Linked DNA regions of Elephas maximus indicus. The protein of the gene in region 2 purifies or fractionates together with the protein of the main gene of each other region. This does not show direct contact. Links are inferred from orthologs where the notes say so. Each region holds a gene or a part of one and is shown on either strand. Other genes may lie near its edges.

Evidence for each region.
Region 1: the proteins of AGO3 (region 2) and TNRC6A purify together in Homo sapiens (affinity purification with mass spectrometry; 7 studies listed by BioGRID and IntAct, with this or other methods). This does not show direct contact. The link is inferred for Elephas maximus indicus from reciprocal best matches to the Homo sapiens genes AGO3 and TNRC6A.

Annotation. Positions count from the first base shown.
Region 1 is NC_064830.1:84,785,200-84,792,889, reverse strand, and holds the start of TNRC6A (trinucleotide repeat-containing gene 6A protein), read right to left. Parts: upstream 3,202-7,690; 5' UTR 2,814-3,201; intron 1-2,813.
Region 2 is NC_064821.1:77,286,568-77,294,387, forward strand, and holds the start of AGO3 (protein argonaute-3), read left to right. Parts: upstream 1-4,725; 5' UTR 4,726-5,292; coding exon 5,293-5,311; intron 5,312-7,820.

The DNA.
Region 1 (7,690 bases), on a different chromosome or scaffold from region 2:
AATATTTTGTAGCTCCTCTCATGGAGAGGTATATATTCCTATCCCTTAAATCTGGGCTTGCTAATTTAACTCGTTTAGATCAATGGGGCACTAGCAAACATGATGCAAGTAGATGCTTGAAAAGTGCTTGGGCATTGGGGCTTCCCCTCTCAGGTGCCTTTGGATCTCAGCTGTCATATATGAGCAGAAGGCTACGCTAGCCTGCTAGATATGGAAACACATGGAGACACATCATTTCAATGCCCCTGCTTATCAGCAGACAAGTGAATGAGGCCATCTAAGATCAACCAGCCCCCAGCCAACCTGCTAACTGACTAGCCACATGAGTGAACCCAGGCAAGAACAGATGTACTGCCCAGATGATTCCAGCTGAAATTGCCAAGTCGCAGAACAATGAGCTATAAATGATCGTTGTTTTAAACCACTAAGTTTTGGAGTGGTCTGTCATACAGCAAAACTAACAGATACACCACTTGAGGAAGTGGTCTTTCCATAGCAAACCAAATCATGCAGCTTTCCCACTTAAAGTATTTAAATGGTTGCTCACTGATGGTGAGATGAAATAAAAATCACTTACGATGGCCTTCAGGGCCCCCGCATATCTGGATAGTTTCCTCTCCTAGTGTGGTCCCACTCACGCTCCGTGCTCAGACACGAGGATTCTTGCTCCTCCTCAAGTGGCCCTGGCCCCTTCTCACCTCAAGGACTTCACACATGCTAGTCCCTCTGTCTGGAATGCTCTTCCTGACTCTTCATCTGGTTGGCTCCTGCTTCTATCTCAGGTCCCAACTTAAATTACATGATCAGAGGCCTGTTTTGACCAATGCTTCCTCCTTCCTCACTAATGTATGTACCCTGTTACATATTCACCCACCCATTTAAAACAAAAACAAAAACACTGCCATCAAATTGATTCCAAGTCATATATTTAAAGCAAAAACCCATTGCCATCGACTGGATTCCAACTCATAGCGACACTAAGACAGAGTAGAATGGCCTCATAGAGTTTCTAAGGCTGTAATCTTTACAGAAGCAGATTGCCACATCTGTCTCCCGCAGTGTGGCTGGTGGGTTCAAACCACCGACCTTTTGGTTAGTAGCCGAGCACTTAACCACTGCACCATCAGGGCTTCTTATATCCTTATTAAAAAAAAAAAAAAACCCGTTGCCGTCGAGTCGATCTGACTCATAGCGATCCTACAGGACAGAGTAGAACTGCCTCATAGGGTTTCCAAGGAGCACCTAGTGGATTCGAACTCTCGACCTTTTTGTTAGCAGCTGTAGCTCTTAACCACTACGCCACCAGTGCTCCTATATTCTCATAATACCTTATTATTTCCTGTCATAGAAAGTACCCCAACTTGAAATAACATATCATCTTGTGTGATGATTTGTTTAATAGCTACCTTCGCTAAAATTGCAAACTCCATGGGAGTGGGGGTGTCTCTGATTTATTTACAAATATGACCCCAAACCTTGCACAGTACCTGTTACTTAGTAACTGTTGGATAGCTATCTTGTGAGGCAGTTTACCACAGTGGTTAACTGTGCAGGCTCTGGAGAAAAACTCTCTGGGTTCAAATCCTAGCTCTGCCATTTACTAGCTGAGTGACCTTAAGCAAGTGACATAATGTCTCTGTGTCTCAGTTTCCCCACCTCTAAAAAGGGTACAATAATAGCACCTATTCATTGTGTTGTTGGGCAGATTTTGCTCAATAATTGTTACCTATTTCCTGCCGAATAGATGTCAGCATGCCAACATAATGGTCAACCAGCAGCTTCTGATATCACCAGTCTCTCCTTCCTTGGTGGCTATAGACACTACTGTGACTCCATTTACATTCAGCTTTCCCATGGCCAGTTTTCCAGCCAACGCTCTGCCTTATTCTGCAGAGGTGTGGCCTCAAACTCTGAGCCAGCTCTGCAAGATGCCCCATGACACCTGAGTGAGCCCTAACCACTGAGCACTGGGTTTTGACTTTCTCCCACACAAAGTCAGACATAGGGGAGTGGGGGGTCAGGAAGCACCATTTCCCAACTGCTGTCACTGCCCCCCCTTCACTCACTGGTGCCCCAGTGGAGCTGGGACCTCAGGCCAACAGACATCCAGCTAAGGAACAGTTGTGATGACCCCAAGAAATATATCAATCACCCTCACCACAGACATATCAGGAACTGGGCAATCTACGTGGTCTTAGTGGAAAAACCAAAACGTAGAAGGGACCCGTGCCAATCACCATTGAATCAATTCTGACCCACAGCGACCCTACAGGACAGAGTAGAACTGCCCCATAGGGTTTCCAAGGAGTGCCTGCTAGGTTCAAATTGCTGACCTTTTGGTTAGCAGCCGAGCCCTTAACCACTGAGCCACCAGGGCTCCCTAGAAGGGACAATTAGTACATTTCCAACCACCAAGTCCTTAGAAGCTGATCTTTCAGGCTCTGGACAGGAAGATCATAAGCTATAGGTATCCACAGACAGAAAGCACGGGAGACTAAAAAACAAGAGGAGAGTGGAGAGGGAGGAGAGAGGTAAGAGAGGCTGAGAGGAGAGAGACTCTGAGAAGGGACACTGAGGGGACAGAGGATGGAGGAGAGACTGGCTGGGGAGGGGAGGCGAAGCTCCCTCCACCCAGCGTAGCCAGCACAGCTGTGCCCCCAGGACAGCTGCGTCTGCTCGCCAGGCCGGAGAGCTGCAGCTCCCCTGAGCCGGCACTTGGCTCCCAACGTGCCCAACAAGGGCGCCCTGAGCATGCTAATGAGGCGGTCGAGGTCAGCTCCACACGTAATTGCTCAAAGTGCTCAGTAACTTACCAGGCTGGGAGTCAGTGGGCGGCCAAGGACGGGGCCGGGCTCCTGGAGCCCCCGCAGTGGGGCCTGCTTCCCAGGTACCCGGCGTTCACAGGTTAGTGGCTGCCAGGCGACGGGATTTCCATCTAGTCAGGCACCAACCCGAAGGTAGGGAGAGCCAGACCAAAAGGCAAAGGAGAGGAGGGGAACCTGCTTATGTTTTTGTATTTAAATTGTTTTTGAGCCCACGTAGCCCTGGGAGTCACATGCTGCCTCCAACATCACCGGAGTCATCACATGATACAGGTCCCCCATCATGTGACGAGAAAAAAATCGGCCTAACTCCAGCTCCCACCCCCACCGCCGGCTCCCGGACTGACGGACAAAGTGCTTCTGGGGGAGCCCCCTCCTCCCCAAAAATCCACGATCGAGTGAAAGATGCAGACGGAGACCCCTCGGAGCCCATGCGACGCTAAAATCTTGATGAATACTTAATCCGCCTTTCTCCTCCTAAGCTACTGCGACTTGGAGCAACGCCAGCCTCATTTGAATCCCAGCCTTTGTGAATAACTCAAGTGTCGCCACCGTTGCTCCAGCAATTGCTGGGCGTTTGAGCTCACACCATCCTGCCTCGTTCTGGAAAGCTTGGCTGCCTCCCCTCCCCACAGCTTTCAGGCTCACAGGGCAGCCGGGTGGAGGTGGGGAACGGCAAGAGAAGGGGAGACTGCTCCAGCTGAACCTTCTAGTCCCGCCCCCCCTTTTTTCCCCCAGCTGCAGCAGCAGTCAGGTGGGGCCCCTCTGGCTCTCTGATTAGGCTGTCTCCTTACTTAAGGGAAGGTAGCTTTGCTCTGTCTGCAGAGATCTCTCTCTTCCTCTTCGTGTGTGCGTGTACCTCTGCACGCATTTCTATGTTTTTCTCCTAAATCAGGATACAGTTTAAAAATCTGTTGGCCTTGCTTCCTCCCATTGTGTAACCTCCTTTGCGCATTTATTCATCCACCAAAATAATGAAAAATGAACAGACACTTTTGTGGAGTAGTAGCTACTACGTCCCAGGTCTTGTGCTAGGCACCAAGAAGGAAGAGACAGGGAGGGACGAGGTATTACAGAAATGCAGAAGACAAGATTTCTGGCCTTGAGGTACCTGCTGCCTCTTAGAGGCAGCCGAAAACACACAAACAAACGTAGCAGATGCAAATATCAAAGTCACACAGTCTTGGGTATGCAAAAATGTAAATCCTCTGTTTTTCCGCACTTGAACTTCACTTCCCTAGCCCTCCCTCCCCACCCTGTTCTTCCAGTATACCAAAACCAAACCAAACCCATTGCCATCAAGTCGATTCCAAACTCATAGCGACCCTATAGGACAGAGTAGAACTGCCCCATAGGGTTTCTAAGGAGCACCTGGTCGATTTGAACTGCCAACCCTTTGGTTAGCAGCTGTAGCACTGAACCACTACACCACCAGGGTTTCCTCTGCCCAATATAGGAAACTTAATCTAGTTGCTTTCATCTAAACTCAGTCACCTGGGACATTCTTCTGTGCCTCAGATTTTAAAAAGTCAAATGAAAGATCTTCCCCTCATTACCCTCCTCCTCCCTAGGGTTGATACTAAGCCCTGATGCTCACTTGAATCAACAAACAAGCAAATTGCATGGACCCACTTTCCTTAGAGAGAGGTAGTGAGATTTACTGTCATTTTGCAGCTTCAAGGCCTGTTTGATCAAAGGAGGAAGGTGCTTTGGGAGCAGATGGGCAGCAGTGAAAAGCCCTGTTCCAAATCAGATTGGCTTTCTACAGTCTTCGACAATAAGGGCAGAGAAGGTGTCTGTAGCAGACATAGTTGATTAGTGCTTGAGTACTAATTAGTACCCATGACTGAGTTTACATGGATATGACAGATTAGTTTTCTATGTGAGACAGAATGGGGTCTTAGGGTAGAAATTGGGTTTGGGTATAGACAAAGACGATTTCCATTTTTGCACACCTGAGTTTGTGTGGCTGTGAAATTTGCAATTGCTATATCTCAGCAGGGCAGATTAACCAGTAAGTGCAGTAAACAAAGTACGCACGGGCTTAGTTGTGTTCACTTAACTAATCTGCAGTGCACAATTTCACATGGGTTTCACCCAGGGACTGATCACCCAGTAGGCAAGGTATGCATAGGCTTAGTTGTGCTTACTTACTAGTCTGTAGTACACCCACTGAAATTGTGCAGTACAGATTAGCGTTATTAGTGTTAGGTGCCGTCGAGTCAGTTCCAACCCATAGGTACCTACCATATGTATAACAGAACGAAACACTGCCAGGTCCTGTGCCATCCTCACAATCCTTGCTATACTCCAGCTCACTATTGTAGCCACTGTGTCAATCCACCTCATCGAGGGTCTTCCTCTCTTATGCTGACCCTCCACTTTACCAAGCATGATGTCCTTCTCCAGGAAATGGTCCCTCCTGATAACATGTCCAAAGTATGTAGGGTGAAGTCTTGCCATCCTTGCTTCTAAGGAGCATTCCGGCTGTACTTCCTCCAAGACAGATTTGTTTGTTCCTTTGGCAGTTCATGGTATATTCAATATTCTTCACCAACACCGTAATTCAAAGGCATCAATTCTTCTTTGGTCTTCCTTATTCATTGTCTAGTATTCACATGCATAGGAGGTGACTAAAAGTACCATGGCTTGGGTCAGGCATACCTTAGTTATTAAAGTGACATCTTTGTTTTTTAACACTTTAAAGAAGTCTTTTGCAGCAGATTTGCCCAATGCAATGCATTGTTTGATTTCTTGACTGCTGCCTCCATGGGTGTTGACTGTGAATCCAAGTAAAATGAAGTTCTAAACAATTTTATCTGTTCATCATGATGTTGCTTATTTGTCAAGTTTTGAGGATTTTTGTTTTCGATGTTGAGGTGTAATCCATACTGAAGGCTGTAGTCTTTGATCTTCATCAGTAAGTGCTTCAGGTCTTCGTCATTTTCAGCAAGCAAGGTTGTGTCATCTGCATAACGCAGGTTGTTAATGAGTCTTCCTCCAATCCTGATGCCACATTCTTTTTCATGTAGTTTGGCTTCTCAGATTATTTGCTCAGCGTACGGATTGAATAAGTACGGTGAAAGGATACAACCCTGACACACACATTTCTTGACTTTAAACCACTCAATATCCCCTTGTTCTGTTTGAATGACTGCCTCTTGGTTTAAGTACAGGTTCTTCATGAGCACAATTAAGTGTTCTGGAATGCCCATTCTTTGCAGTGTTATCCATAACTTGTGATGATGTCCTTGATGTCATTTCACAACTCATCTGGTCTTTGATCGTTAGTGTTCAGTCATCAAAAAAAAAAAAAAAAAAGGAGTGAAATGGCATGCATAAACAGGTTAGTAAGTAAGCACAATTAATCGTGTGCTTACCTTGTTTATTGGGTAATCCATCCCTGTATATCTGTTTGTGTTTTTGTTGCCTCCCCTGGACAACATGCACCTCAGGACAGAGGTCTTAAGAATTTCAATAACTCATATTCCTTGCTAACAGAACCCCATAATTGTTCCAACAGCAATGTTTTCAGCCCCAGAGGTGGCTCTATTCTACTATACCAGGGATTGTTTCGGGGGTGGGCATGCCACAGTTCTTGCAAGAAGAGTGAAAGGATTGTCTGCTTGGAGCCTCTGGAAAGAGAGAGGCCTATGAGAAAAAGGTTCTTTTCTTAATTGCCACCTTTTTCCTACTTTGATGTGGTCATGGGAGGCAACCATCATGTGATATGAGGTGAAAAACATCATTGGTGTACTGAGGATGCCAGCTTGCAGAAGAAACATAGGTCCTTGATGGAACTGAGTTACCTAACTGACCCTAGAACTTCTTAGAAAAAAAATGTGTCTTTATGGTTTAAGCCTTGGAGTCCCTGGGTGGTGCAAATGGTTAAGTGCTTGACTACTAACTGAAAGGCTGGGGGTTCAAACCCACCCAGATGTGCCTCAAAAGAAAGGCCTGGGGATCTGGTTCCAAAAGGTTACAGCCATGAAAACCCTATGCAGCACAGTTCTATGCTGACACTCATGGGGTTGCCGTGAGTTGCAATTGACTTGGCAGCAACTGATTTGTTTTTGGTTATGGTGTACCACATTTCCACGCAAATAACGCAGGTTTTCTATGTTTGTTTGCCAACTGTGCCCTCCCCCCACAAGGTATTTTCATAAGCACATTATGTTCGTTTTTTTACAGCAACATGTAAAAAGAATTAACATAGCTGCACTTATGAAAATACCTTGGTGGGGGGAGGGTGTGGTTGGCGAACAAATGTAGAAGGTGCGTATTATTTGCATAAAAATATGGTAAGCCACTTTTAGTCAGGTATTTTATTGCTTGTGGTTGAACACGTATCCTAATTGAAATGGTATCCATGGAATTTGGCAGTTGCCTCCTGCTCATCAGGGGCTTTGGAAGAACGGTTTCCATGGAATTTGAAGTTGTGGAAGTCTGATGATAGTGGTTAAGAAGTAAATTGGAAGATTCTGTTTCTGATAGTATGGAGGACTACATAAAACCAAAAATCAAACCCGTTGCCATCGAGTCTATTCCGACTCAGAGTGACCCTATAGGACAGAGTAGAACTGCCCCATAGGGTTTTAAGGCTGTAATCTTCACGGAAGCAGACTGTCACATCTTTCTACTGCGGAGTGGCTGATAGGTTTAAACTGCCAAACTTTTGTCTGCCCCGTTGATCTATGTCTATCATTACGGCAGCTTTGCACTGTTTTGATTACTGTAGTTTTATGGTAAGTTTTGAAAGCAGGAGGTGTGAATCCGGTAACATGTTCTTTTTAAATATTCTTTTGGCTATTCAGGGACCCTTGAAATTCCATATGAATTTTAGGATGGGTTTTTCTAGTTCTGTGAAA
Region 2 (7,820 bases):
GAATTCTACAGGGAGGGAACAGGCCGAAAGAGCTACATCTGTTGTCTTCCAAGAAAAGAAAAGGACTATCCCTGGAGTAACTCAGAGATCAGCAGAACTGTTGGAAGGAGCATGGGAAGCAGGGCCTTCTCAATTTTAAAGGGTAGGGCCATGGTTTCCTGGATCTCAAAGGGTGGGGCCACAACCTCCTTGGTTTCAGAGTTGATCTTTGCCAACTTGATTTCAGAGTATAGGGCTGCCATTAAGAGTTCACAGATCCAGAGATGATGAAGAATTTTGCCCCAGGATGGAATATGCCTAAAGTCTTACCCATATTAGATTTAGATGATTCAGAAGATGAGGTTTTGAACTTGGAGTTGATTTAAGACTTTTGGGATGATGTGATGGGGTAAATTTGTTCTGTGGCAAGGACATGAATTTTGGGGGGCCAAACGATGGAGTGTTATGGGTTAAATTATGTCCTCCCAAAATATGTGTTGTAAATCCTAACCTCTGTGCCTGTGGTTATAATCCTATTTGTGAATGGATTATTTTGGCTATGTTAATGAGGAAGGATTAATGAGTCAATCTCTTTTGAGATATAAAAGAGCAGAGATGGGGTAAGATAGATGCCAAGACACATGGAAGTCTCCAAAGAACCAAGAAGCAGAAGCTAAAGAGACAAGGACCTTCCTCCAGAGCCAACAGAGAGAGAAGGACTTTCCCTAGAGCCGGTGCTCTGAATTCGGACTTCTAGCCATCTAAACTGTGAGAAAATAAATTTCTGTTCATTAAAGCCATCCACTTGTGATATTTCTGTTACAGCAGCACTAGATAACTAAGAGACCACATCAAAGTCTTTTAGGCTACTGTAGCTTATGCTGCATTAACACACTGTCCTGCTCTTGTTTTGGACTGCAGCAGCTTCACCATCCACTTGGCAATGTTTTGGGAAGACAAAGTAATATAGAGGGACCTTTCTGGGAAGCCTGCAGTCCCTCTCCCCCCACCTTCCAAAGACAAGGAAGTTTTCTGTTAAAAGAGGCAGTGAGGCTCCCAGCCAGGTTTTTGGAAAAGGGCTACTGACTGTTAATGGGAATGGACTGGAAAAGAGGAGTTTGGGTACCTGAAGTACCTAAGTGTTTTGTACAGTTTTTTGTCTTATTTAACTGCATTGTCATGCATAGTTTATTGGTTACTTTGCCTTAAATTGCATATAACAAAATCTCAATTTAACTGGTTTAAGTAAGGAAACTCATTTTGTTTAAGAAGTCCTGATTTAAGATGGCTACCATATTGGTTAATTGATTCAATTATAACATCAAGGAATCAGGTTCTTGCAGTTGTTTTGCTCGCTATTCTCTGTGTTGGCTTATCCTCATGCTAGTTCAACTCATCCCTAGATGGCTGCCGTAATTCTAGACAATGTTTAGCCGAAGAGGCACTAATTTTCCCCACTGTCCCATTTAAAAGCAGGGAAACCTTTCTCAAGAAGCCCCAGCAGATTTGACCTTATGTCTCATTTGTTAGAAATTGGTCATCTGCCCATTCCTGTCATTGGCAAAGACCATTATCAGTGACTTAAATTAACCAGGAGTTTCCCCCTGGGTCATATGGACTAGAAAGTCTAGTGTACTGGCAAGAAATAAGGGGGTAAGGGCTGTTTGGCATGCATCCAGCAGTGTCTGTTCTAGGTAGGTGCTCTGATTTTTACAAATAAAGAACATGAGTCTCAGAGAGGATCAGTGACTTTCCCAAAATTCCATCTAGTAGCAGAGGACCTTCAGTCTCAGTTCTGTCTACGCCTAAAGTCCCTATGTTTTATATTGTGTCGTGCTGCACTTGGGGAAAAGTACAAAGTAGCTTTCTTTTTGCCTTATAGAAGGTGCTGGTTCAGGTGATGAGATTTGAACTCAGGTGCCAAGTTGGGTGTACCCCAGCCCATGTGAGAGGAAAGGACTCTATCCATTTGCTCTCCTCATCCAGTAATGATGATTCTTGTCTAACACAGGAAGCTAGGAATACAAAAGTCCTAAGTGAAGGGAAATATTACTGGTAGCAAGGAAGAAGACCAGGCACTGTGAGTCCCTTAGCCTGATTTGCTGGGCTTGGGTTCGTACCAACAGTTAAAGCAGGCTGCTGGCCATCTTTTCTTTCCTGAGTATACTGGGTGTTTTATAGCTCATTTTGCTTTTTCCTAATGAGCAATGATAGAGATCAACTTTTCATGTGCTATCCAGGTATCTTCTTTAGTAAAGGGTTCATATTTTTTGCTCATTTTTAAATTGAGTTGTCTTATTACTGAGTTGTAAGGGTTCTTTGTAAATTCTAGATACAAGTCCTTTTTTGGATATATATTTTGCAAATATTTTCTCCCAATCTGTGGCTTGCCTTTTCATTTCATTTTAAAGAGCAGAAGTTTTAAGTTTTGCTGTGCAGTCTATTAATTTCAGTCAGATTTGTTGCCTTTTTTTTTTTTTTCCTAGTTTGTGTTTTCTTAATCATATTTTAAGAAATTTTGCATTGGGTGTTTTGGTGGCTGCTGAGGCAGCACAACTTTCAGAGGGCACTGATTTCCATGCTCCTAAGATTTCTGTGGAAACCCTGGTGGCGTAGTGGTTAAATGCCATGGGTGCTAACCAAAAGGTTGGCAATTTGAGTCGACCAGGCGCTCCTTGGAAACCCTGTGGGGCAGTTCTACCCTGTCCTATAGCATTGCTATGAGTCAGAATTGACTCGACAGCAACGTGGTTTTTTTTTTTTTTTTTTTTTAATATTTCTTTATACACAAGGCATAAAGGCAGAGTTCTAGCCTGCTTCCAGAGCCCCGTACTTGTAGCACATTTATTTATTTATCCATCTATCCATCCAGCAAATATTTACTGATCCTGCTGTTTGCCAGGCACTGACCCAGTTCTAGGAACTGGGGCTATGGTAGTGAGCCAGATACACAAAGATTCTACCCTTATGAGCAGCTCAGTTGAGAATGAGGTTATCCAAAAATTGTGTGTGGGGGGCTACTTAAAGGGAGTGCCTAATTCAGCTTTGCCTTTGATAGAATCATTCAAACCTCTTTGCCTTCCCACTTCCCAATATTACTATTCATAAGCTTTTAACGTTGGCTTAGTCTAAAGAGGAGGAGTTTCTGGATAGCAGAAGTAGATGGGAAGGCATCATAAATATTTATTAAATCCAAACCCTCCATCAGTGTCAGAAAAGAAGATAGTGGCCACCTCCACGTTTTATCACCATGTCTCCTCTAGAGGATGAAAAGGCCTGGAATCAGAGAACTAGATCCAGAATGGGGGATAGAGGGTATGATAGACCCTTACACAGGAGTTGGTATTTACCCTGACAGATGCTGCTACCACAACTTGGGTTGTGTACAGTCAAGGATTCAAAAACTTTTCAGATACAGTTTCATCTGGTGACAGATTTGAAATTTTCAAATTTGGGTAGGGCATTATCTTTCACAGAGGTAGAGGTGGGAAGGAAGAAGAAAGTGAAGCACAATTGGAGTCAGACAGATGTGGGTTTGAATCCCATCCCCTTATTGTTTACCGTATGGTAGGTACATCTGATAAGTGCTTAGAAATCATAACTATAGTAAATATTATGGGTATCCACTAACATTTAGGGAGGGTTTTCTCTGTGCTTTATGTATATTCCCAAACCTCACAACAACTGTGTAAGGTACATATTCTTTCCATTTTTTCAGATGAGGAAACTGAAGCCCAAAAACATCAAGTGACTGATTCAAAGTCCCACAGTTGAGTGGAGGGAACTGAAGATATTTTTTCTCCTTCATCTTCTCAAGCTTTGAGAAAATGTATTTTGATTAAAAAAAAAAAAAGTCTAAATCTTTTGATATTTAGGGATGTAGGAAAAAACCATGAATCAGCCTAAATAAAATGGTATCATGTTTCATTCAGGCAACAAATATTTGCCAGTGTGCTGGCTCTGGTTTCCTTATGAGGCTTGCACTGTAGTGGGAAGGGGCCACACAAACTAGTGAAATAATTAGATTGAAATAAGGGCTACCAAGAAAGTGTTGAGATAGAATAACAGGGAGCGTCCTAACATAGCTGAGTGGTCCGAGAAGGCCTCTCTAAAATGCCTTAAATTGAGGGTGGGGAGGAGGGGGCAGGAGGGCTGACTGGAAAGGAAGCGAGAAAGGAGGAGAAGGTTCCTGGCCAAGTGCACCAAAAGCAGGCTCCTAGACGGAAAAGCAAAATGCTTTGCCGGTTAAGGGAATCAGAAGCTGAACAGTGTAGCTGTAGTAAAATGATCAGGGAGAGCCTTACTTGGAGAGAAAGGCAGGGGCCCCTTAACGGAGTGCGTTTTGGCCCTGGAAAGGAGTTTGGATTTTCTCAGTGTCAAGGCGGTATTAAGGAGTTTTAAACGTGGAAATTATTCGATCCGATGTTTGTGTAATGTCCTGTTCCTTAATCACCTTTTTCCAAAAGTCGTTAAAGCAACCCTACCGATTTGGGAGATAATCAATTGTGCGGGTCACTTGACCTCTTGTTGAGGGGGAGGCACTTGAGGCAGCCCAAACTAGGGGGCGGGGAGGGACGGACCAAACGTGCTCAACCGGGGGGGCCTCAGTCTCAGCTGCAGGTCCGGATCCTTTACTTGGACAGGCCTAGCTTTCAGGTAGGCTCCTCCCCAGGTAAGCTCCGCCGCCATCCGCGACGTCGCCTCTGGCAGGCCCCGCCCCCAGCAAGGTCGCGCGAAGAGCCCCGTCCCTCGGGGTTGTCTCCGGCCGGCACGACCAGCGGAGAACCGCTGATGGGCCGGCCCCGCCCCGCTCTCCTCCCGGGCCGAGGCTCCGCCCAGGCTCCGCGCCCGCTCCCGGACGCCTCCTCTGCGTCCTCCGCGCCGGCCGCGCCCGCACCGACGTCGCTCTCGCACGGCTTGGGGCGGAGAGGCGAAGCTTCGACGTCGGGCGAGCCGGGGCAGCGGAACTGACGCCAGCGGGCTTCCGGGGGCGTCCCCCGGGGGAGGTCGGTGGCACGGCAGTCGTGGAGGAGCAGTGGGAGCGTAAGCAGTCAAGGGCGACGCAAGTTCCGGACCGGGCTCCCCTTTTTCGCCTCATACCTCTCCTTCCTCTGGTTTAGTCCTGTGTGGTTTCCCGACGGCGGCTCTTCCTAACGCGAGCTTTCGGAGTGCAATTGCTGAGGAGGCGCAGTCGCCGCCCCCGTCCCGGGGCCGAGTGAGGGTGTCTGTCGCGCCGCGTCGCCCCCCGCGCCGCCTCCTTGCCCCCAGTGGTGGGCGCTTTTCTCACTCGGAGCACTCCCCCCAGCTCCATGAATGGAAATCGGCTCCGCAGGTGAGTCTGGGCCGGGCACGGTCGGTGGGGGTGTCACCCAGCTGTTGTCCCCGGAGCCGAGCATCGTCGCTCCTTCCACCCCGGCCCAGGTGCGCGAGGTGGGCACCCTCCGGGCGTCGTCCCTCTTCCCGCCCCCACGCCCGGCCTCTCCGCATCCGCGCCGCAGTTCTCCGGCGGCCACTGAGTTAGCTAAACTGCCTGGAGGGGAAACTGTGCTTAAAAGATTTAAGTTCATTGTTGTTTAGGCGATATTACTCATTTTTTGTGGAATACTCGTTCTCGAGTCAGGAACGGTTTGCCATCGGTTTTGTTTTTATAGTTGAAGAAGTAACGGTGTCCGTGTCCTCTAACTGGGTTGTGTGTCCCGTTCAGTCTCTGGGTGGCGAGCCACCTCCCTTACCTATCTCTTGAGGTAGTTGTGAAGATACATTGAGATAACGGAGGAAAAATGTTTGAAGTAGGTATTAGGTGCAACGTCAAATTTAAGATGGCATTTCTTCCATCCCCTAGTTATCTGTTAATGCTTGTGGCAGCGTGGTGTATAGTTCTGAGTAGCTTGGAGATGTCATATCAGCCTGGATCACTGCTTATGTGAGGAGGTGGATCTTAAAATTACTGAAAATATATATATTTTTCCATTCTCTGTACCCTAGAGAAGCAGTTTTCATTTTCCTGGGAATTTGGAATTTAGGAAAACTGCTTTCTCTCCTGGGGAAAACAGCAGTCTTGAAAAAAATTGCGATGTGGGCAGTTCTTTTAAAGAAAAAAAAAACAAAAAACATGGTGTGGTTCTAAAGTAATTACTTGAGGGACATAGAATAGCTGTTACATAACCGTTTGTTCATCAAATGATGATGCTTGGTATGTTAAATTTGGATGTATGCCTCATCCCGATGGTCACAAATTTATAAACTAATTTAAGAAAAAAAAATTTTGGGGGGGGGACATCTTGTTACAAATGGTATTATGAGTCTCTGAATTTCACATTTTCTTTTGCCAGTTTGAGAGGTACCTCAATATGATATAAAGAATTTTGTTGATAAGGAGTATAATTGTCAATTAGATGCAAAAAGCACTCAGAAATTGGGGGAGTGAAATGGAGAGGAGGTTTATTACAAGTTTTATTACATGGAATTTTCTAAAATCAGCTTCCACATCCTTTTAAAAATGGAAAGTTTGCCTAGATTGTGAAGAGCTTTGAGACACTTTTATTATTAATTCATGTATTTCAGAAGCTGCCCTGGTTTTGAAATTTCTACCATGCTCTTTGTTCTTACTGTATAAAAGGTGCAATGATTTGGGGCTATTTTACATAATTTTCTCTCATAGAAGCCCCTGGGTGATACAGATGGTTAATGGCTGCTAATTGAAAGGTTGGAGGTTTGAGACCACTCAGAGGCATCTTGTTAGAAAGCCTGGTGAACTATTTCATAAAATCAACCATTGAAAACCCTGTGGAGCACAGTTCTACTCTGACACACATGGGATCACCATGAGTTGGAGTTGACTTGGCAGCAGTTGGTTAACTGGTTGGTTAATCTTGTTGTAAAGCTGGAAAACAAAACATGAAAGTTAAACATTTAGTTATTAATCATAATAATCATACCAAAACTTTTAAAGATATATAAAAAAAAATTATTTTCTGTTTCTCTCCGCCCCTCACCTTTGGGTTTTTCATGTGAAATTATGCCCAAATATATGGGCAACAATTTAGAGTAAATACTTCTGAATTCACAATGCCTTAGCCAGCTATTACAACTAGCCGAAGTACAACTGGGTAAATGTTCTTACGAATTCTTGAGCTGTAGATAAGTTTTGTGTGTGTGTGTGTGCCATTGCTGAAATACTTACTCATTTAACTGTCTTCACATATGGGCAGGTATAGTTAGATGTATCAAAACTATATATATGCTTGGACATCTTAATGGGGTTTATACATGACAGGACTATAATAATTAAGATAAGCTTTATAGCTTAGTTCAGGATTGTCGTTAGCAAAAAACAAAATTTTCATTTTCCCAGAGATTTAAATATAATCGTTACGCTGCACATGAAATTGAAAGCATAGTTAGGAAAAAATGTGCAACTAAGTTTTATATCAAGAATTTGACAGATATGTTATATATTTTGGTTTAAAAACTTTTAGATATAAATGTGCTTTAATAGTCTATTGGTCAATATTGGATCTTGGCTCTTTCTGTTATAAGTTTTTGTTTTGTGTGGAGGTTCTCAGGAATCATGACAGGATGTTTTAAATCCTAATCGTGTGGGCACATAGAAAACTTATTTACGTTAAAGGACTTCAAATACATATACTGTGTAACTTTTTTGGAAATGTTGCTCACTAAATATTAATATTTGTCTGTTCTTCCCTTTTGCATGAAATAAAATTTAAGTGATTTTTAAGGGTGTTCTCTACTATTCACTGATTTAGTACTGTCTGAATTTTGATTTAGCCAAAATATCTGGCGTTGTTCGTTTTTGAATAATAATAGTAACCAGTAGTTCA